Oreochromis niloticus: one gene and its partners. The protein of the gene in region 2 purifies or fractionates together with the protein of the main gene of each other region. This does not show direct contact. Links are inferred from orthologs where the notes say so. Each region holds a gene or a part of one and is shown on either strand. Other genes may lie near its edges.

Region 1 (8,617 bases), on a different chromosome or scaffold from region 2:
CTTAAGGCTCTGGAGACAAGTCGTTAGATCATTGATGTTAAAGAGATACTGTCTGGTGTGGCGATGTATCGAAGAGAGCAAATACAAGTCCGGCTGGCCTGGAACTGACCCCCTTCCCTAATAAACGCCTGGCTATTGAAGTACCCAGATACGGTTTTTAAATTAATGAAAGTAATATAGCACAATATTATATTTTTCCATCCATATCAACTGTTAATCACTATCTTATATAGACCTGAGTAGGGCAAATACTGTTAAATCCAAAACCAGATATTTTTTTTAAGCCCGCTTTCCTTGTCAGCCTTTTCGTTAGCTTTACAGAATTTAAAAAGACAATCATTTAACTGCAAGCTTGAGGTCTTAGCATTTCGTATGTCATGAGAAATTTTTTTTTTTTTTTTTTCCTTGCTTGTTCCTTTTGTGGTGCAAGATTACTTCCTGAACTCTTCCATTATGTGGCTGTCTGGCTTTGTTTGTTTGTTTAAAGTGGGCTACGATTGTAAAATAACTTATTGTCTGAATGTACTGTCAGCAACCTTTCAGCAATAAATGTTTTTTATATATATAAATAAGAGGATGTGGCTTTTTGTTGACAATAAACCCTGTTTTTAACTCTTACTGCAGAGACTAGTCAGAAGCACACAGTAATACAAATCAATAAAGACACAAAATACTTTGTCTTTATGTTTAGAGATTGTAAAATAATGCAGCCTCTCACTGATACATAAGCCTACATTAACCAGGCCATATATGAATACTAGAAGCAACAAAACTATGTAAACACACCTCTAGGGATACAATATGTAGAGCAACAACATGGGAGAGGCTTGATTGTAATGCTAGTTTGCGTCACACGTTGGGTTTGTGATGAACATGTGAGCCGTGTTCCTGTAGAGTTGCATTCCTGCCTCTAGTGAAACACTCCACCCTTTGGTCAACACAGCACTTGGTGTTAATTTGGTGTGTTGCGCCATCTAGTGGCAACTGCTATTTACAAAATACATGAAACTGTTATTCTTTTATTGTAGAAGTACTTGAAATGATTTGACACCCTAATACATTAGATACAGGAAAAACTACAGAAATCATGTGGCAACCAGGGGAACTGAGTAGTATACTGAATTAAATTTCCTTTTCATAGTATTTATTAATATGTAATTATTTATTTGAATTCTAAGGCCTGGTAGAGCAATCGTCCATAACAGCATGAATGACACAGGTGTGCTTCTCATTTCATTAGATGGAAGTCTGCTCAGCTGCAGTTACCAGCTGGCTCTACCACAAACTAACATTCACTCATAAACTGAGACGTGCAAAACAAGGCAACAGAGTTCAAAAATCAGAAAATACCTGTTAGGCTAAAGCCACTTACTTAACACACACAAGTCTGTATAATACCTTAAATCCTGCTTAAGATAAAATACATTTTAATTTTAAAAAATCGTTTTTTTCAATTATCTACCTTTTTTTTTTTAAATTACAGCAGTAGTAGTTCAATGTTTCTGTACAACACATACACACCACAGCCTTATGTCAGTACACTAGTGTATGGATTTAAACTTTTCAAGTGTGTCTTTCAAACAAAACGCTACCGCTCAGGCAAATAAATAACGTGTGTTCAACATTAGACTTTACATCCGAACCACAGGAAGAACAATCTAAGCATGCAATACACCGTCTTCTGATACACATGTGGTGAAGGTAACAGTAAATGCAGTCGTTTTGGCACCGTATTAAACCTTTTTTCACACATGAACTCCAGAAAATGTTGAGACGATTAGATGTGGATGTCACACAGACACGAGGTGCTCGACCATTTACGGTCAGATAAGACTGTGTCGGACATTTGTGCTCTCACGTGAATCTCAGTTTGGTAATGTCTCAAAGCATTCAGGGCTGCAGTGCATGTGTGAAAATGGCTTTACTTTCCAGACAATATCTTTCACAGAAAATTATTTGAGGCAAGATTTTCTTTGTATGTAGGTAAACCTAAATGGGTCTGTAGCCCTCCGGTATGACTCATAATTTGCTTCTGTCCAGTCTCTTTTTTGCAGGGTTGGGATACTGGGGGTTCTCAATCACCCCCTCTCCAAATTTAAGTTCCAAAAAGGCTCTGTGGTTGTTAGGGCCATAGGCAGTGATGCCAGCAAAAGGCATGGGTACCAGTGGCTGCAGGAAGTGTTCTGGGAACTCCACATCTTGTTTATGTTCAGTCCACGTATCTTTGGTCATGACGCCATTACGTGGATAGAACGGCCAAAGGTCAACGTGCAGGTGGTTAGCCTCACTGTACTGGACCCTGTAGAAGTCTCCTTCCACCGCACGCTCCCACACATAGCCATTAGCATCCACCAGAGAGCCTGAGTCCAGGTTCTTTAAATGATCGCAGTTGGGTACATCCTCCAGGTAGATACCAAGGTCTACATCATAGTCCCATGGGATGATATCTTGATGGCGAACGGCGCCCAACAGAGTACCTCCCTCTAGCCAGTAGCGCACACCTGAGCTCTCCAAGATATTGATAACATACTTGGTGGTTTCCCTGAGTGCTCGCAGACAGCAGGGAGGTGTCCAGCGGTCCAGATACAGATAGTCTGGAGTGTCATCCTGCACAGTGCCAAAGCAGCGTGGTGTCTCTTTGCTGCAGCCGTACCACTGTTCCCTCCCATCAGGCAGCAGAAGACGCTTCAGACCAAAGCTCCTCATTAGATTCCCCGTGGCCTCCTTCAGTCGAGTGTCAGCCTTCCACTGGTTGTGAGCAGAGCTGAAGAGAGGCCGATGGTTTGCAGAGAAACAGGGGCCTTCCAGGAGTTTGACCTTCCAGCCTCTCAAAGAAGTCTGGATGAAGAGTGAGGAGAAGAGAGGCCGTCCAAGAGGGACAGAGAGGTTAAAAAGATCCTCGGTCCGAATGAGTACGACTGCATCTCCCTGTAAAGCTGTACATACACTCCCACTGCTCCCTGATGCAGCTGTTGAATAGATAGCTGTCCACTCTCTGAGGTTCACCCGCAAGTGGAGACACTGCACAGCAGATCGAGCCAATACGGGCGCAGCTACTAACCTCACAGGCCCTCCACCCTCTCCTTCCAACTCTCTGATTAACCTCTCAATAGCCCTTGGTTGCTCCAGCTCCACTCCATCAGGCACTAGCAGCACAAACTCTGTTTGCACATGAAACTCAGGCCTGTGAGCTTGTGGTGGTTGGTCTGGGCTGGGGGACAGCACAAGAAGCCGAGCACCCTCCGGAAGCGCCAGTGGAGGGTACGGTGATGTGTCAGCTACAGCCAGGAAGGGAAGCTCTGGCCTCTGGTGAAGGAAGGAATTAGCAACATCCCCGACATAGTTTTCAAAATGTTCAAATTCCCGAAGAAGAACAGTTACACGTGGGCCTCGACTGTGTCCCTCCACTCCAACCACTCCAGGCTCACCTCCAGCTCCTGCAAGTAACCCCCCGAGACCAGAGGCTGGTAGGGCAGCCCTTCTTGTGCCCCTGCCAAGTTCTTTCCTCTTCTCCATCATTTGCTGCTGGGCTCGGGACACATAATAGAGAATGAGGAGGTTGAGGATGATGGCGACAGTTAACAAGCCTTGACAGAAACTGATCCGCATGGCAACTAATATTTGCTTTGCAGTTTATTTCAGGAGAATAACTTAAGTTTGAATCAAGAAATCCAGTGGCTGGTCTCGGACCCCCATCAGTGTAACAGAGAGTCGCATGCAACCTGTAAATGACAGAAAAATGTTGCGTTTTGGTTCCAATACCACAGGCTTACGTGTAAATATAATGTATTGATCTGCATATGTATATCAAAATTCGCACACAGGATATTTAATTTAAACAAAGTAGTCAGTGAATGACCCAAGCCATAATCACATTCTTGTGGAATTAGGACATGACTGCCCCATGACAGGTTTTCTTTTATAAATAAAATATGTCTAGTTGCATTAGAAATGAATGAAAATAGGATAGTAGCAACTCACCTTCATCTGAATGCATCTGTTTTATTTCATATGAGACAATCGTTTGCAGGGCCATCATATCATTCAGAAGTTAACAGAGGCTTTACCAACGTTAAGCCAATTATGCCCGTTATGCTCGCTATATGTGGATTTCATGATGATCTTTTGGAGCTGGTAGCGTAGTAGCTACCGAGGTTGAATCGGCAGCGGCAAACACAGATATTAACTTGAGTTTAGCTCATATTTGTACGGCTGTGGAAGAAATAGTCTCCAATATTTTTGGAAGAAACTCACACTTAATGGTCAAAAGAATATTTCAAAAGCGCAAGGCTTAACACAATCCCAAACAAGAAACCCAGCTGCACGAATTTAGCATGAAGCTATCACGCTGTTGCCCGCAGCAACAGGACAACTTCCGGTTGGAATCCTTCAGAATAAAGCTATTCTGTCCAAATTTGGAAAAATCTATGAATTTAGCTATTTAATGAAAGGCACATATTTTACGCAATAACCGCTTCAGAGTTATCCCAGTTACCTGGCGTCTATACCTAATCTCTTACGTTTTAAAAGAAGAAAAACATATTGCTATAATATAAAATATAAGATATAACTACAAATGTTATTGCATACGTTATAAGGATATAAGCAATATAAAAAATATAAATATAAAGATGATATGAAGAAAAATTATAATTCACGTTAACTTGTTATATATTACAAATGTGTCCCCAAGGCTTTTTTATTGTTGTTTTTGGTCTATGGCTGTTTTCATTTCACAATTTATTCCCCCGCACCCACCCCCAAAAAAATCAAAGATAAAATCTCGACCGGAAATAGCATTGTTGATTATTGTAGCTAACTTTATCGTTCCCGAAACCATTCCTGCTCACAAAATGGCAGGAAATTCATTCCCCTAGCGACATATTCATTGTCTATTATAGAAAACATGGCCCTTTATTTGTCACCCGCACTGGGCATTTCACGAGGAGGAAACTGATCTGGGATCCGGGATATACAAAATAAGAGCAACAAAAAAAAAAGGAAAAAAAAGTTTACGCTTATTTTCAGGTGCATCACATTTAATAAACGCTGTCTGTTGTTACTTTATTTTGATGTTAGTTTTAAGACTGGACGTAACACTTTTTGTGAAAAGGGATTTGTTACAAAATCAACGGGGCAACGATGTTACACTGCGGTTAGATTGTGTTTTGCGCTGAAGGTTTGGAAGCGGAAGTGTATTATTTTACCAACAGAATAGTAATTTTTCTCTGTGCGTGTGAGAAAGGAAGAAAGGAGGGTAGCTTATAGTGAAGTGGAGCTGGGTTTGGAAAAGGGCACGGGGTACTTTTTTATATTTTTATTCGTCCATTCTGTCCGTTCCCATCTCATTATCCTGGCGAAAGGTTGAATAGTTAAAATGGAGGCGGACAGAACCGGCGGAGGATCTAACCCGAACTCCGGAGGCGGCGGCGGCGGCGGCAGCAGTGGAGCGGGGCGCAACCCAAACGGGCCTAAAGCAGGACCGGGCCAGGCGACATCAGCTGGTGGGACCGGGGCAATGGCAGCGGCCGCAGCAGCAGCCGCTGGGGCCGTCTCTGGACCGTTGCAGCAGTCACGGGAGCCGCAAGACGGGGAGTCGGGGATGACGCTTCCTGGGATCCTGCACTTCATCCAGTACGAGTGGGGACGCTTCCAGGCCGAGAAATACCGCTGGGAGGCTGAGAGAGACGAACTCAGGGTAAACGTATTCATCATTAAACCCGGGTTTATGTAGCTGTAACGCCAAGAAAGGGCCTGGAAGGATTTGACCGGAGCTCCTCCGGTGTCGCTTCGCGGATGTACACATGCCCTGCTATCGGTCAGTTAGAGGATGACAAAATGCTAATAAGCTAGCATTACAGTTGACCAGGATGCGTTATTACTAGACAGTAGATGATAATGTGGGAGCTGTTTGACCTCCAGTTGAAAGAAGCCACCAATACTCTTTTAAACATAAAACATTTTTGTGTTAAAAAAAAAAAAAATCTATAGATATAGATATATATATAAAGATATATAAAAATATATGCCTCCTGGGCTTCTAAGGTCGATACAGTCAATACAGATACACACCACAAGATTAGATAATAGACTTTTATGTCTTCCCGGAATAGCAAGCAAGCTATCGTGCAAATAAAAAGGTAGGCAAACAGTTTAGGTGTGGCTATCTTGTCTTTCCATATTATTTCATGCAGGTACACATGGAACTCACGCTTTCTGTCACACGTTATTTTAAGATTTTTGGCATTTTACTAGGATGTGCAAATACACGTTAGTTTGTAAGGAGACACTTATCTGATTTTTCGTACTCCACAGAGACAACTCAAGTGATCTGTGGGTGTGTTGTTGTGGTTAAAAAAATGATAACAGTGCTAACCAGCTGTGATTTCCCTTTGCAATTGCTGCATTCAAAATAATAAGTGAGTAAGCATTCCTTAACTGCCCTTACTTAAGACAATTCTCCCTAAAACAGTAGTTTGATTGCTGTAATACGTATTCATAAAATAATTTGCACAATGAGACACAATGATCAGTTTGACCTTTGAACTTAGGCACACAACACAACTAAGTCACACTGAGATGAAGTTCCTGAATGGATCATGCGTTGTGATCTGTAGTACCAATGCCTCCATACCTATGGCACACACACAAATTAGCATTTTGAGCTAGGACCAGTTACACACACACACACACACTCACACAGTCAATCAGTTGTGTGGTGTATCTGTGTCTATGTATATATGTATGGAGTAAAGTTGTATTTTCATTAACAATGATTAAAACATGAGTATTGATAAATAACAAGTGTTAGGATGAAAATTTGTAGTTGTCTATCTGCAGCCAAACTTGCGTTTGTATATTTTATCTTTACTTTGTATAGTGTGTTATTAGTGTGTGTATATAATGACCTTAAAAACAATATATCTGCCTATAGGCTAGAGAAGTGGACTATCATCCTTAAAGGTAAATGGTTTAAAGCTGTAAAATGCCCCCCCTAAAAAAAAAAAAACGAATGTGAGCTTGTGACTCTGTGCCATAGGAATTCCCATGAGCAATACCTGAGTTCCCTGAAGGTCCTAGTTATTCAGATGCCAACAGCAAAAGACAGACGTTGTACTATTCACCTCATCTGCATGCATAAAATTAAAAGGCAGAGCAATACTGGGCAAGTTTGTGCATACTCATCAGATTTTTCCAGGATTAAGAAAAGTTAGGAAAACATACAAACATATTTTAACTCTGCGTTTGGACAGTTCATCTTTTCATTTGTGGTTATCCCTCAAGTAACTACAGTGTTTTTGGTAATAAGAATGAACTCCCCTCTTGAGTTCATGAGTTTGACAAAACCACAGGAAAAAAACCCTCAAAAAACCATAAAATTTCCCTCTCCTCTGTCATTGTGCTTCTCACATTGCCCCTAACTCAAACATACATAGTTATAAATAGTGGCTTGATAAAATATGAATGAACAATAACAAACGGGCAGCGCTTGCTGCTTTTATAAAAACGAGGGATGAGTGGGAATGGAAAGCAGAAACAGCGGATTGCTGTGTCCGAGGTGCTATTAAGTGCTTGTTATGGAACTTTGTTTGCGTTTGCACATTGGCTGCACATGGTCTGGCTTCACGGGTACAATTAGCACCACGCTTGTGCTGAGAGAAAGAGAAGATAACTGGAGTGCCATGCTGAAAAACTGACCTAGCTTACATTTTAACACCCACAGGCCAAAGGCCTCTGGCTTTTGTTGCCAACTTGCTTGCAGCTCTCCTCTCACTGAGCCAGTTATTGTGCCCCCTGGTCATAACCTGAACAGTTAACATGCTGTAAATGTTTCCATAGTGTAGTTTGCTCACATGTTGCCTGCACATGGTATTTTACACACTTTATTTTCAAAGGCTTTACTGAGTCACATGCAAAATTAACTCACAATCACTTGAGATCTGTGTGACTTTGTGTGCAACCTAGTAGATCTCTTCATGTGGAGCTTAGCATGTCTCTGCGAGATCACGACACGTGTGCCGCTACTGTGACCGTGTTGGTGTGTAAAGCCACCTGTGGTGCTGTGTCTTCACTGACAGGTGGCAGTGGCTTTTGCCTGTCTATAATTCAATCACTTAAGAAGCCGCTCTGGCAGCAGTGTTGTTTCTAACTAGGCATTGTTTTTGCATGAGCACAATTCTAATTTAATCTAAAGACTATTCCTCAGATAGTCATGTATTCTACAGGGAAAAGGGATGACCTCAACCTGTTCCTCTTTAAAGTGTTCTAATTTCCAGTCATTTCATTTTATTAAGCATGTCAGTAGACGTGTAGAATAGATTACTGGTGACCCAATTTACATCACTTCCTGTTTGGTGTAAGTCTCGCAGTCCCTGGATACATATCTGTAATTAATAGCTCTGTGTACTCAGCCGTGACACACATATGACATCCATGTGTATTGTGTTGTTTCACAGCACTGCTCTTGCAATTGCAGTCTTCAACTTGCAGCGTTCATCTTTTATTTTCCATATTTAAAAACTAGCATTCCCTTCTCATGAAATCTTAAAAAAACACACACACACATATATATATGTATATGTATATATGTATATATATATATATATATATATATATA
Region 2 (7,435 bases):
ATCTGACGCATACTTCTATGTTTTTGTGATGCATCTACTTTTGTTTTTTGTTCTGAGTTTTATACAATAAGTGGTACTTAATGTCTGTTCAGTATGTTACATGGCTCTGTTTGTTTTTCCACACACAGATGATTTTCTTTTAATGTTGATCAGTGCTATCAACCTGCCATGGATTGCAGAGGAAAATTAGCCTATAGAGCTAAATCTGGCATATTTACATTAAATGGGTTTCACGCTCATGTTTATAATAGTGCAATGTCCCTTTTAGACAAATTAAAATATATGAGTGATAATGAGTTACAATGACAGTAAACAAAATATCAAAATATAACTGTCATTTGAGAAAACTACAAAAACAATTTGACACTTATTTATTCTGATGGCTTATCATGTAGATTTTGGTGGCGCAACTTCTAAGATGTGAAAAAAATTAGGTAAATTAATATTGTTTACCCTGTTCAAACACACCAGTAACTTAACCTTAAAAATAAATGACTAGTCATTGACCTGCTTAATCACTATTCCCTAGTGCAGCATTAAGTATAAATTCTCTAAGACACATCTTTACAGGTTCTGTTTCACTCATTAATCAATAGTAGCAGAGCTGTCATGCTATTGAGATCAATTGGGGGTCAGTGTTTTGCCCAAGGAAATGTAGCCAGGGATCAAACAACCAACTCTGCATTTAATGGACAACCTGCTCTACCACCTGAGCCACAGCCATCACACGGTCAGTTTTCTTCAGTGGAAAACCCAGCCATAGATAGAATCACAAACAAACTACTATTTATTTCCACATCTCAGCTGTGGTGGGCAACAAACCCTGGGCCATTTTTTGCACCTACCCAACTGTTCTTATAAGCAAACTGCTACCTAAATTACTAGATCCACTATTTAAATACACAATAAATTATTACTAAATGAACTGCAAGATTAAATCATTACTACAAATTTTAGAAACTAGGTCACATCTGCCTGTGTTGTTAGTGAAGGCTTAGGTGAAATTTCTAGGTGAAACCTCAGAAGAAGGTCAGGGAAACAGGACAAACCTGCCCAAACAATCAGTATTTGGGTAAAATATCCTGATCTGTTTAGCCCCATTACCATGTGAGAGCTACACTGAAATACTAGAAATTCCTCATCTTTTTCAGAGGGAATCTTATGAAACCCTCTTACTTTGTCAAGAAAATAATGGTATTATTTTAAACATAGTTTGAATTGGAGTTATTGGGTAGCCTTTTGATCACTTTAACTGTAGAAGGGGATTCAAAAGTCAGTCAAACATTAGACATTACAGATTCTTCTCAAACAAGCACTGAGTGAATGCATTATAACACTTCTTCATATATATATATATATATATATATATATATATATATATATATATATATACACACACACATAAAGCTGGTCTGTCTTAAGTGGATTTACTGCCACATCAAATACTGCATGTTCTTGACAGCTTCCATAGTGATGGGGAGAAATGTGAAAAGGGACGTGACAGATTTCTTGCCTCTCAAAGAGTTTCTAATGTTGGATGTAGGATTTTCACACTGGGACCTTTAATGGGACACCAGTTAAAATACAAAAGGAACAAACTCCAGGTCTAATTTCTTCACAAACAGTCTGATATGTTACATTATATCAACAATATTACAATATTAGAATGTTATCAGTTATTGAAAGATGTGCCTTTTTCTTATGGAGTCATAAACCTCCATAAGAAAATACCACCAGAAGACAAAATGTAGTTTAAATAAACCAGCCTTCCCATTACATGATGTAATCACACAGTGGCCCAGTGTTTTATAGATACTGGTGCTTATTTTTCTTCCCCCTCAACCTACAAATTAACATTGTCAGGGCTGGGTAAGGTGGTCCTTTAAGGGAGAAATCCCAACATATACTTGGAGGATTTGTGTACAGACTGTACTGCCTATAACGCAGGCCGATTGATGTTTATCCCACCTTAACTTTTTTCGCGTGGGTGTTCAATGGTCGTGCTTGTGTCTGAGGCGAACTGGCATATGACATAACATCTAATGAGTCCGTCTGCCATCATTTTACAATTCACTTATCTGGTAATAACAATACTCACCCTCAGAGCTGCGAGGTCTATGTCATCCAGGCTTCTTGTGGGGGCGTTTTCAGACATAGCTGGCGAAACTTATCACGCTAGCTAATAAGTTAGCCACTTATTTGACAAGAAGTGCTTAAGGGGGATTTAAGCGGCCGATCACGCGAGCTTATAACGGCCTAAACCCAGAGGAAATACAGCAAAGTGGCGGTCCAACACGCAGGAGCTGTAGCACTTAGATTAGCAAATGCATCGCAGATAGAGCGGACAGACGCACCCAGCTGGCTAGCTCACGTCAACTCTGGCCGAAAGCTGTAAATGTTATTCGCACTTGTTTTACAGAAATGCCGCCTGCGACAGCTAATCAAATCGCATGCAACTTAAAAAGTAGGATTTTTTAGACAGGCTGTCAACGTCGCTGTTAGCCGCCCATTTGATATCGATCTAACAACTGGCAGGTTTCAAATGCAGAGCACCTCCGCTGTTGTTGAACACCTTGCTGCGTTCATTTTGACAAGACGCCGCTTCTCCCCTGCTCTCCAACATCCCAGCTAATCTCACATATGATACACCGATGCGTGTCACCGAGGGGGGAGAAGAAAAACAACTACCAGACAGGTGTTGTGTACCACTGAAACATTCCTACTTACACTGATAAAGTATGCTATTTTTTATTATTTACGGTTTAGCAGCGCAGTGATTGTTTTACTGAGAACGCAACGTCTGATGTGATGGCGTCCCCGGGTCCGTCCGCACCGCACCAGAACCGACCGTCAGGCTCTCATCGCTGGCCTTAAACCTCCCGGGATTTTGTCACAGATTAGGAGCGTGGGGAGGAAAAAAAAATGGAAAAAAAGGGCCTCGTTTCAAATGCGATTCCCTGCGGCTGCAGTTGTCAAACTTGTTAACGCGACTTAAATTCGCCCCCCGGGTTTCGTCCAGAGCGCACAAATAATCCGAATACCGAGTCAGGTGTGTGCGGTTAATCTAATGTTTAACTGGCCGGCTGGCTAACGCAGCTAAGCTAGCGAGCTAAATTGTCTTTTCCAGAATAAACTTTCCCTTTCCTTCTTCATCCATTTTCTGTGTTGACAGTCGCGCCTAGCACTGCCAACCTTCCGGGGGAAAACACGGGCAGACGAGCAGGCACTGTGTTGTCGCCAGCCACCGTAATACTTGTAAGCCTGAGCACTCGACGCTTCAAAGTTGAGCGCTGCTGTCGATCTCCGGCGTCCAGATTTTATGAACTTGCAGTCATAGTCCGCCACTGACAGAATCGGTGCAGTTTCTAACTGCGGTATAGCCGCCAAACTTGTTATTTCGCCATGTTTTGCTTCCCAAGTCCACTCCTCCCTCCCACTCGCAGCCTAGATGTAGTCTTGTTGGGTTTGTACTGACGATTGGCTGCACGCAACACTCCTGAAGTGTTTTCTCTTCTCGACTGGCTACGGTGCTTCATCAGGGACAAATTACCCGAAATTACAGTGGACTTCAGCCTACGCAGCTGCCTCTATCTTGTTTGAGCTGCACAGCTGAGATCATTCCTGGGCATACCTGTCCTGCTCTGGCCTTCTGGGTCACTGGACACACGCTTAAGGCTAAAATACTGCTGAATAAACAATGCAGATTTTGGTAATAAGGGCCACATCTAACAAATATTCTCCTCGTCTTGGTTTTATGTGTGCGTCATCCAGCAGATTGGAGATTGCTATAGTCAGTTTTCCATTAGAGCAAGCTCACCTTTATAGTGCTTGTCAATACTGCATGAATCAGTTCCAAAGCTTTTCTAGATAAGCACCTGACTGTTATTAAAAGAAAAAAAACCCCAGACTGTATGGCAATAACCTGAACAATGCATTAGTCATTTAGTGAACATTAAGCTTTCATGCCACGAATACCATTTTCCTGTGTAAAGCACATGCTCTCTCTCTCAGAGTAACTATTTGCTTAAAGGATATCCAGCTAACAAAGGATATTGCTTCCATGGTGACAAAAGTAGTTTAGATATAAACAATTAACATTTCCCCTTTTCTGTTTCTCTTGCCATGTGATAGACACGTCTAAACAGTCATTTTAGTTGCATTAAGATTTCATACAGAATAGAAATGCATGCTGATACACTACATTTGAAAATTTTATTTTTTTAAATATTAAATCCAGTTTGAATGCAGTCTTTACTTTTTTAAAAAAGCACTAACGTTTACAAAAGTAATACAAGAGAAGGCTGAAAAAAGTCCATTTTTCAAATAGAGTAGATATTCGGAGCCACAAAAAACAAGTTCATGTTAAAAAAAAAACAGAGTAAAATACAAGTTGCTCATAATTGCACTAACAAGACTAAGAATATTCGTCATCGCTCTCTACCCCTGAGTGTTAGTAACCCTATACATTGGTAATTATAAGGTGATGACATTGATCTACAGAGACAAGGTTTCACACAGTGACTCTCAGGGACGAACACAAACACATTTCAATGAGTAATAAATTCATAAAAGTGGTTTGGGAATGCTGATTATTGGTCTTTTAAAAATACAATTCATGAGAGAAACAGTATAAGGTCACTTTTCGGTATATTACAGGCATTTCTGCAGAACTTAAAAGGAACACCAGTTAAGACAACCACTTTGGGCCGCAAGAAAGAGGGTAGCAAATACATATATGGAAGGGCTTCTAGTGTCTTTTAATATCTTACATAGGTAAGTATTCATATTTCTAAACACAGATGCTTTAATTGAACAACAATCCTGTGAGAGACACTTCATGTAGACTTGGTCGCATGGGGCGCCTGTCGCATTCACAGACAGCTTTGCAGTGGAACCGCCCAGGTAATGTTGTTCACTCATAGGTGTGTGTCAGAAGCTCATACGACAGTCTGCATTATTCACTTAACTGTGATTTGCTGTCATTGCATTGTTCCGGGTCATCTTTTATCTGGTCTTTTTAAAAGAAACATGTGCCAGGGCTCAACCCCCCCCCCAGAACACACACACACACACAGTAGTCATAACACTAGCACAAGGCTGGGAATATAAAACAGAGTCCCATTCACAAGTTTTACAGACTGGCCTTTATGTCCCCTTCTGCTGTTTGTTCCTGTAAAAAACTTGTGATGAAAGTGCATGTAATTAAAACTTGGCCCAGCGCTCAAATGTTGAAAAAGAGTTACAGTTTTGCCTGAATGCACAATCTAAAGTTGCAGAAAAATGTACATTCCCCCTCGCCTTGGTTTTCCATCAACCCTTAGAATCCAATTCCTGTTTTTCTAAGGCACATACTGTACCTTACTGCTGTATTATTACATGATATCTCAGTCAATGCAATGACACAAAAGAGGGAAGGTTTCCTGTCTATTTTCACCAGCAATGCTACAAATGTATCCACATTTAAAGACTTCCCAACAGCAGTCACGGCTTGGTCACAGCTCAAGGGAATGACATTTCAAAAAAATAGCCCTGTGATGCCCCAAAATGGCAATCAGTGAGAACGTGAAAACGACATCACGTCACAACTCAAGTGAGCGTGCACCTGCACAAACCGCTATGTCTGTGAGCAAATGTAACATACGGTACACATGAAAGATGCTGGACGCAACATAAAAATAGCTGAGATATTCAGTGGTCTCAAGTGGGCAGTGGAATGTTCTGTTCTGGACTGTCGACAGCATGGTGAAAAAAAAAAAAATCACTAGGGTGTCATGGAGACTTAAAAAAAAAATGCAACAATTAGGAGGAAATCAACCTAACACCCTTTAATTATCTTGTTCTGCTTTTCTTTCCCCTCTCACAGTTTTGCCACCTGATCATATATCCAGAAATGGTCAGCAGCCCTAGCAGAATATTAGCTTCCATTTTCCCAGTGCACCATCCTGATTTAGTAAGTTGTACCTCTTATCAGCACTCTCCCTATTCTGCCCTATCCAGTCTTTATTTCAGCTACAATCCAGTCATCTCTTTATATCCGTCACCATAACAACCACAAATGTTCTGACAGATTTTCTGGCACTGCAGTGAGAGGTGAAGCCTCAGAGGGAGCGAGTGAGAGAGAGAGAGAGAGAGAGAGAGAGAGAGAGAGAGAGAGAGAGAGACACCCACCCACCCAAAAATCGTGCACCAATAAATGTACACTATGTTCCCAGATCATGTGAGATGCTTGATTTCTAATACAACCTTGCAATCCTCTCCTGACTCATACATTCATTTATCTGTGCTCTGCACCGCCGCCAGACATGCAGATCAGATCGCACTGAACACATTATAAAGCAGACATCACAAACAAATTGGTCAGCACAACCTAATATAGACAGATCATTGTAAAATTTGCATGTCCGTGGCTACGTCAGTCACATTAGCCCATTGTCAGTCAAAAAGACAAAGTAATCATAACTGGATCATTAATAAATTTTGGTGAGGGTAACACCTCTCTACCTCACTCCACCTCCACCTCTCACCATTCAAGTGCTGGTGCTATAACTACTTTTGTGTCCTGTGCTGACTATTAGGTGAACTAGAACGACAAGAAAGATGGCCGCAGTACAGCATTTGTTGCACTGTCATGTAGTGGTCTGAACCTGGCTGAGCTGCTGCTTATGTCCACAGCTCTGAAGGAGCCATGCCTTCTTTAGTGTTCCGTGGAGGCAGCAAGTTTTCCTCACACAGGAACTTTAAGGGGAAATGGACCAGCAGTCCTCGGATGGCCTTTAATTCCTCTTTGGCCTGCTTAGGGTCTGTCTCGCAGAGGCAAGCCACATTCGAATAGTCCTTCAGGTCTTGCATGCTACGGACTTTGTTGCAGGGCAGGCACCTGAACACCTGTGGTACAGTAGGGCCAGAGAGCCAAGAAGAACAAAAAGTGGTGAGAGAAGTGAAAATACATGTTGATACAATTAGAAATGTAAAAAAAAAAAGTTTTGGTTCAATCCACACCTTGTCATAAATGTTGACATTCTTTTTAGCTGTCTCATTCCAAACCAAGAAGAAGAACTCATCACTGATTGGATCATCAATATTGATACTGGGGTCTGAAGCAGCTCCAACAAGAACGCTGGTAAAGCGGAGAAAAGGCCAAAAGTATTCAAATAACAGAAACAATATGGTTAAGCAATCACAAAACTGCACAGGTTTCCCATGCATGCAAATATTTTTGCTTGTCTGTTGGTAAAAAGAAGACCCTATACTTATATGTCTCTCTTGTTCTCATTTACACCTGGTAGCAAGCACTACTTTAAACTGTAAGTTGCTAAAAAGTCATCAAAAGGTTTTTGCCCTGACCTGAAGCACTCTTTGCGTAGAGCGAGTGTCAGTGGTCCTGCCTGGTATTCCTCCCCTCCCATTATGGATGGGACCCTCTCTTCATCTTCCA
Region 3 (8,217 bases), on a different chromosome or scaffold from region 2:
GCGCCCATTTCTTTCTTATTAAAGGATGTCTTTGTTTTTCAGATGAATATGTTGCGAGTCTGCATCTGGCCACGTTTGATGCCCACCTGACAGAGCTTAGTGACGAGCAGGCAAAATACCTGGGTCTGAATAAGAATGGCCCTTTTAAACCCAATTACTACAGGTACACTTTTGCACATATTAAAATTTTGAAATGGGGAAATATTTTGAAACTTTTATTAACTTATTGTTATTGCACTAGGTTGTTTGCCAACACATAAACATTTTTTAAGAATTGTGTTTCATTCACATTATCTGTTTTTGTTGTTGTTGTTGTTCACAGGTATTAGTCTGTCACCTGAGAACAACAGCATGTGGACGGTTCCTGATTAGTACCCGACTTCCAGGCAAAATAATGATTTGTGTATTGTATTTTTTACCCTTCATGGGATGCATAGCTCATTTACTTGTATTTTAGTGACTGTAGAAAGTTTTGCTGCTTTACCAATGGCACCCAAGCTGGCTATGAAAAGTGAGGTGTAAGCACTCTGCTTATGTGAGATAACACATGCAAAAAAAGGAAAATATATGATTTTTTTTTTTTATTGCATGTGTTTCCATTCTGAAAGCTGTTGAGTATATCAGCATATTGTGCCAAATGACTGTGAGAGGAGGGTTGTGGTTGTTCAGAAATATTAGTTGTTAAACATGTTAAACCCACACGGAGCACTATTTTTGTATAATCATTCCCTCCATGTACTGCAAAACAGTCACTTAAAATGCCAAACCCAGGAATCTCAGGAGCTTACTGTGCTTTTTATGCACTTTTAGCTCCTTGTTTTGGCATTCTCATCAATATTGTGCTTAAAACTGTTTGCAGTCTTTTCCTTAAAAAACAGATAAGCCAACAATTGCAAAAAAAATGTGACATGATTTAAACTCCTGGTTGTTTTTGTTTTTTTTCTATCTCAGGAGTAGGTGGACCAAATCGGAGTTGAAAGGCCAGTCAATATGAGACTTATTGTTACTTTTAAACTAGCCAGTGATTTGGCATTAATCAGATGTCAAATCAGTTTTTCCTGTGTATCTGCTGAGTAGGCAATCGTTTGCTTACAGATGAGCCATAATAACCTGATGAGCTGACTGTAAATCAAAGTTTTGTTCCTCTGAGTATTTTTACTGTCCAGCGGTCAGAAATTGCTCTGTGCTGCTTTAAACGTTTCTTCCTGCTTTGATATTAAAGCACTTAATCACCTTATACATTCCATACACAAGATACACTCCTGTTGTAGTATCCTCACAATTAGTGCTAACCTTCACTGGGCCTAACAGAAACATAAGCGCTTGTTGAGCAGAGTAAATGTAAGAGCTTGTCATATTTTTTTCTTGAAAAAGAACTTGTCCATTTATGAGGTTTTGGTGTTTGGTGAGAGTTATATCTGTACCTCAGGGCATTCAAATATCTCTAATTATTTGTAAATATATGTCAACGCATCTGCACTATCTAATCTTAGTATTCATGCGTAATCAGTTGGTTTTGAATTGAATATTTACAGCATGTCTGTAAATTGGAGGGATATAATCATGTCTGTGATCCATGTCATTTGTCAGGTTTAGCTGTTCAGAGTAAATTGAATTTGGCGGTTATGTTACATACAGCACATTTATACTGTACATACAGCAGCCTCTGATGAGCTGCTCTCGTAATGCCGTGTCTTGTTAGATTTGTCTCAGGACTCTGTTAAAGAATGCTAACAACAGAAAAGTAACTGTCGTTTCCTAAATGCTCTGGGACTAGACACGGATGAGCTTTGTTGTATTAGCTTTACCTCCTGTTATCTTGTGGTATTATAGTTATTCTAATCCAACACAGTATGTGTGTTTCCAGAAGATTATGATCATTTTAAAGGCTTACGCACTGTGAGGCGTAAATGTTTGTGAGGCTTGTTAAATGCAAATTCACATTTACTCTGTTATATTCACATGTGATATTTTTTTAAACAGTGGGCACTTTGGATGACTGAGTTGAGCGACTCATTTTATGTCTAAACTAGGTATTACACAGATAGTTGTATCTTGTTGAACTTGCAGCTCTTCAACACATTTCATTGTGCTGTACGAGAGGATGGTCGCTAGTCATTAATTCTTTACAGTTGACAGCACTGCTGTTCCTCTCAAGTGTTTGACACCTTGTTACCATTTTAAAGTAACGCTCCACATGACTGAGGATCCTGTTTCATCACCGCACTAAGCATAAACCTGAATTTATAGAAACTGCGTATTTCATTTGTGCAGTAATTTTCAATTTTAAATGAGCAGGCTGCCCCCCCCCACCTCCCAGTTACTCCTGTTGTTTATTGAATAGTAGCCTACAGTGTGCTACTGCAAAGTGCTTTTCATCTTTGCACTAACAGCTTTAAGGGCATTACAGCCAAGGAGGACATCATTTTCAGTAAAAGGAGTGCTGCAACCATGGTTACTGATCAGTTGACAGTGCCTTGTAACTCACTTAGTAATTTATATTCACATGGACCATCTGTGCGTTTTCCTTTTTATCCATGTTGATGCCCGTCACAGTTATTACCCTGCAATATACAGTTATAGCTATGCAGCAAAGAATCCTCAGCCTTTCTTCTGGAAAAGTCAGTGTTTCACAAATTCCATAAAAAGTTATGCTAATAATTACTGTAAACAGTTTGAATAAGCAGCATTTTACATTCTGATATTTACCTTTTACATTTATTGTGATGGGTTTTTTAATCTCTATGTTCTTGTAATAATGGTACATTTACTTTCATAATGGCACTCGGAAAATGCTTCGCTTTATAACTAATAGTGACAGTCACTTTAACCTAGTTGTTCCTCTGTTATAGAGACAAATGAATGTTATATTACTGGCACAAACAGCTTGACTTTTGTTAAATTGAAGTTAATCAGCATACCACTGTGATTTGGAAGCTGTACATTGTTACATTTGAATACAAGGTTGTCTACATTATATAGTACCTATAATGTTTGCTTATTTTTCAACTTTGTTTCTAGTTTGTTTCATAATGTCAACTGAATACAGCTTGTTAAATTTCTCTTCACTTTCTCCTTTAATAAACTCCAGTTTAAATTTGAAAATGGCTCAGAAACATCATTTTCCTGCAGACAGACAATAAGCTTTACACAATTTGATTGAGTTTAATGTATATAGCACCAAATCACAACAACAGTTGTCTCAAGGCACTTTATATTGTAAGGTAATGACCCTACAAAGAAAACAGAAAACACCAAAAATCATATGACCGCCTAGGAGCAAGCGCTTTGGTAACAGTGGGAAGGAAAACTGTCTTTTAATAGGAAGAAACCTCCAGTAGAACCAGGCTTGGGGGGGGGGAAGGGGAAGGGGAACCATCTGCTGCAACTGTTTGGGGATGAGGGGAGGAAGACGAGACAAAAACATGCTGTGGAGAGCCAGAAATGAATACTAACTAATAATTAAATGCAGAGAGGCATATAAACAGATAGTGAGTGTTTATTCGCTCACTAAGGCCACAGGCAAAAATATGTGGGTAACAGTGACAGTGAGCCAAATGGAACAATAATTTTCTTTATTCTGATTGAAATGAACACACAATTTTATTTAGGCATATGTCCCTAACTGGGGTGACTGTATGCCAGGTGGAAGAGCAGGTCATTTCTAATTGCAAGGTTGGTCCAGTCTGCATACCAAACATCCCTGAGCAAGATACTAAGTCCAAGTTGCTTCTGATGCATCCATCAAAGTATAAATGTGTGTGCATGTTGGACAGGAAGCACTTACCTAGAAAGAGCATAGGGGGGAAAAAGTGCTTGTATGAATGGGTGAACTAGTTGTGTAAAGTGCTCAGAGTAGAGAAGCGCTGAATAAGAACTAGTCCATTTACCATTTAAAAATAATGTAATTATGATGGTTACAGTTGTGATTAGAAATTTACATCTACTCATCATGGGCATGAATGATGCGGCAATTTGGGGCTTTTAATGATATCCTGTGAACAAGATTGTAGAGCATACATCTTTAATGACTTTACAAAAACAAAAACTGGTTGCACAAGCTTTTATTTATTTGGGATTTTCTCTAATGCACACAGGGTCAAAATATTATCGTCCCTTAGTAAATTGCACTTCGACCAGATGCTTTCGGTAGACATAAACAAGCTTTTGACATAATTCTGGCCGAATATTAGGCCACTCTTGGCAGAAATGTAGACTTCATTTAAATTGGTTGGTTTCCTGGCTCTTAAGTCAACAAGAGCCAGGAAACAGGACTTAGCTCGGGGCTTTGGGAAGTCCCTTCCAGTAGCTAAAAAACCCCTCCCAAATAAATAATTTAAAACAAAAAAATTACCATCACATGCATGCACCATGATAAGTGAATGCAAACCTCTGACCACACCTTCATCCATAATTTAAAAAAAAAAAATGCTATTTATATATTTTCTTTAATTAAAAATGTTTTGGAGAATTTTAATCATCTTTAGATATTTATCCATCACGTAGAAGAGAAGTTTCTGAGTAGTCCCGCATTAATTCTACAGTACGACAGATCCTGTGAACTTTCTTCATCCAGAATGATACCTGCAGCAGGCTCTGCTCCGACTTCTGATCTCATCATCATGGCGTCAGTTCGGGATTACATGAAGAGGCAGAGAGAAATTCATTTCACACAAATTCTCCACAACCACACCTCGGGTCGCTGCTGCGGACCTTCGGACAAGATGCTGCGGATGCGCTGACGGGAGTTCGACTGTCGCGTTCCATTTCGCATCTCGCGAGAGTTCACTGGGCCCCAAAAAATTATGGACGTCGGTGGAAACGGTAGTGGGCTGCCTGTAAACAATAAGCAGAGAGCTATGTTACCTAACAAAACCAGGGGCGAATTTACCCGCAATCAAAGAAAAGATTCAGAGGTACGTATCCAGATGCTTATGGTTGATTTCCAGCGTGTATTTTTTTAGCTAAAGAGACGAGGCCTTTCCTGCTGCTAGTGTAAAGTTAGCTAGCTCTGTCATTGTAGCCCAGTTAGTGTTTCTAACATGATTCGGGAGTTAAGAGCAGCAAACGACCTTCATTACGGTGTTTGTACGTGTACTTAGCTGTACGGTGTTCCGTTTGTTTTCCAGTGTTAACACATTGAAAAGCGAGCAGGAGACAGCTAGCTGACGTTAGCCGGCTACAGGCCAGGCTTGTGTATGTGTCAGGAATCTAAGGACCTGTTGAAAACTGATTGTTTAGGTCCTGCTTAACACATTTAATCTTTCTAATGCGACAGTCGGCTATGACAGTGTAATTTTACTGTATATATGCAAATTGGTCACTCATCTGTGTGACGTTTAAAGAAAACAAGCTGAGTGTTTCCGTGTAGTGGTTTAAATAGCCACTGGAGACAGTCATGGCAGCACTGCTTCCCTGTCTGTCTTGAAGAGGTGTATTATTTCCAGTCTTTTCTTGAAAGTAGGCTCACAGTGGCAATAGTAAATCCTCTTGTGTTTAGTTAGAATAGAATAGAATAATCCTTTAATTGTCCCACAAGGGGAAATTTGGTTGTATCAGCAGCAAAAAAACACACATATACAAAAAGAACAGGACACAGAACAGAAAACAAAAAACAAAAAACACAATTTTTACATATTTACATCATGGACAATAGTTACCAGAGCAGAGTACAGTACAGTTGTTAAAATTAGCGTACAGATAGTGTGCAAACAGAGCAGGATACTGAAAGATGTTTAAATAGTTAAGAATATTTAGAATAATTAGAAAAGTGCAGATTGTGTATTGTACCTGTGCATTAAAAAGTAGACATGTAACTTCCAATAAGTTAGTGTATATATAAGCTGAGAAAAGTAATGTGCAGTTATAACAGTAGAAGTTGTTACAGCACTGATGTAAACATCTATGTTTGTTGGGAGCAGTTTTGATTGTACAGTCTGACAGCTGCAGGGAGGAAGGACCTGCGGAAACGCTCCTTCATGCATCTAGGATGCAGCAGTCTGTCACTGAAGGAGCTCTGCAGTAATGCTTCATGATGGCAGCCTCAGTGTGTTACTGTTGCTTTCAGTGTTGCAGCTGGTACACATAATATTGTTTATTGATTCATAAACTTTATATTACAAATCAGAAACTACATTAACTTGTCTGAAATGTAAATTATAGAATAAAAGATTATAGAGTTGTCAGTAATAGATACTCAAGTACAAGTTTATTACTACTACTATTGGTACAGCTTTATAATAAACAGTGCCCAAAGCGGTTTATGTAACCAAAATATAGTGAGGCGTTAAAGTAACTGACATCAGCTGTGCACGGTGTTTATGGAGAACTGAAAATATAATTGACTGAGTGTTCCAGAACTAAGTAACCCAACAAACCAACAGTGTCATGAAGAAACTTTCCAAAGAGAGTAAGCAGACTGAAAGTGGAGGTTTTATAACCTTCACCACTCCCACCACTCAGGTGCACTCAGTCTTAAACAGGACACAGTGCTATTACAGCAGTGTTTGATTGCATCTTATTTGTTACTTTGTGCTCCTGAACTACTTTAACAGTATTGCTTGTTGTTGCCAACCGGATGTTTTTATACCTTATACTGTGCTTTATAGGCATGTATAAGGTGGAGAACATGCCTGATTAAAAAAAAAGATGTTAAAAGATGTAAGCTTTGTTAGAGAGTAGCTGCCAGCACAGAGGAGTGTTTCACCTGTAGCTAAATACTAAAATGTGGGGAAATGCAGCTAAATGCATTGACTCAAGTACTCTACAAAGGAAGATCATAGTGATTATGATGCATTGCTGTAGATAAAACAACCCAACAAAAATGTATTAGCTCAACCAGCGTTATCAGCAGTAAAAAGCCTCAAAAGACATTAATGCGGGAGAAATATTAATCCAACAGTAAAATACTAACGGGGGACATTTTTACTACACACTTGAAGTACAAGTTACTGACTTACATGTGTTAACATAAGTGGGCTTTTAATCCAGAAGGTTTCCTAGTCAAATTTATTTTTTGATATTGTAAATTATCAAAATGCTACTTCCACCACTTTCTCTTAGCAAGAGTCACTTGGACATTTTGGTGCTTTGACTCTTGATGATGTTGCTGTTGTTATGGAGAATTTTGGAAAGGAAATTAAATAGTACTAACTAAATACCACCACTTATTAAATGAGAAAATAGGTTTTTATGTGTTTGTGTGTAGAGTTTGGGTAATGTGACTTCTTAACATCAGTCGGATGTGATTAAATTTGCCTTGGATTTATTCATTAATTCATTTAATTAAATTTTTTTTTTTTTTTTGTATCCAGTACCTCTCTGTCTAACCTCTGCAGTGTGTTGTGCACAGGGGCAGTCTGAGTCTCCAGATCTGGAGTTTGAATATTCGGACACAGATAAGTGGGCTGCAGAGCTGTCAGGTATGTGTGTGTGTGGGTCTGTGTGTGTGTGTCACACTTTAAGAACCTGTAACCACCTAAAAATGTGTGTATATTATTTATGAACTCTTCATGTGTGTTGCAGAGCTTTACAGTTATACTGAAGGACCAGAGTTCGCTCTTAATAGGAAGTGCTTTGAAGAGGAATTCAGAGTTCATGGTAAGCACTTAGAATATACATACACGTCAGCCATACAAATAAAAGATGAAGCAAGTATGCATCTTAGTTTATTTTCTTCACCTCTGCTGTGGCTTAGTGTCTGATAAGAAGTGGACAGAGCTCGATGAAGCTCAGCACAGAGCTCACGCTATGCGCCTGTTGGACAGTCTTGAAGTCACTGCCCGGGAGAAAAGGCTGAAGGTTGCCAGAGCCATTCTCTACATGGCTCAGGGTCAGTCCATCACACGTTTCCACGATTTCAAGTAAACTAGAAAATAGTTTGTCTTCATGTACTGTCTTCTTTTTTTTCTGTTTTTAGGGACCTTTGCTGAGTGCAGCTCTGAGGTGGAGGTGCAGCACTGGATGAGATACAATATATTTCTGCTGCTCGATGTGGGGACCTTCTCTGCTCTGGTGGAACTGCTCAACATGGAGATTGAGTATGCTCTCCGTCAATTTATTAGCCTTGCAGAAGTAAATGGCAGTTAAAAAAAAACAACAAAGAAGCCATTTTTTCCTACCCCATAGCTTTCTGGAAGCATTTATTGAGGTGCCATAGATCAGTCAGCACACAGTTTTACTTTAAGTTTAGGACGGGGGAAACACATTATTTGTCTG

What was found. The genes of interacting proteins can lie anywhere in the genome.
Region 1: the proteins of mink1 (region 2) and strn4 purify together in Homo sapiens (affinity purification with mass spectrometry; 3 studies listed by BioGRID and IntAct, with this or other methods). This does not show direct contact. The link is inferred for Oreochromis niloticus from reciprocal best matches to the Homo sapiens genes MINK1 and STRN4.
Region 3: the proteins of mink1 (region 2) and strip1 purify together in Homo sapiens (affinity purification with mass spectrometry; 3 studies listed by BioGRID and IntAct, with this or other methods). This does not show direct contact. The link is inferred for Oreochromis niloticus from reciprocal best matches to the Homo sapiens genes MINK1 and STRIP1.

The regions. Positions count from the first base shown.
Region 1 is NC_031979.2:21,853,970-21,862,586, reverse strand, and holds the start of strn4 (striatin-4), read left to right. Parts: upstream 1-5,029; 5' UTR 5,030-5,377; coding exon 5,378-5,698; intron 5,699-8,617. Other genes in the region: ribitol 5-phosphate transferase FKRP, read right to left, coding at 2,020-3,609. UniProt on the Homo sapiens protein: Calmodulin-binding scaffolding protein which is the center of the striatin-interacting phosphatase and kinase (STRIPAK) complexes.
Region 2 is NC_031975.2:11,260,896-11,268,330, reverse strand, and holds the start of mink1 (misshapen-like kinase 1), read right to left. Parts: upstream 3,518-7,435; 5' UTR 2,156-3,517; coding exon 2,099-2,155; intron 1-2,098. Other genes in the region: pld2 (phospholipase D2), read right to left, coding at 6,661-6,885, 7,000-7,117, 7,345-7,435. UniProt on the Homo sapiens protein: Serine/threonine kinase which acts as a negative regulator of Ras-related Rap2-mediated signal transduction to control neuronal structure and AMPA receptor trafficking.
Region 3 is NC_031970.2:21,899,042-21,907,258, forward strand, and holds the start of strip1 (striatin-interacting protein 1 homolog), read left to right. Parts: upstream 1-4,629; 5' UTR 4,630-4,805; coding exon 4,806-4,916; intron 4,917-7,351; coding exon 7,352-7,421; intron 7,422-7,524; coding exon 7,525-7,599; intron 7,600-7,696; coding exon 7,697-7,831; intron 7,832-7,918; coding exon 7,919-8,039; intron 8,040-8,217. Other genes in the region: S-adenosylhomocysteine hydrolase-like protein 1, read left to right, coding at 43-163, 323-329. UniProt on the Homo sapiens protein: Plays a role in the regulation of cell morphology and cytoskeletal organization. Required in the cortical actin filament dynamics and cell shape. Part of the striatin-interacting phosphatase and kinase (STRIPAK) complexes.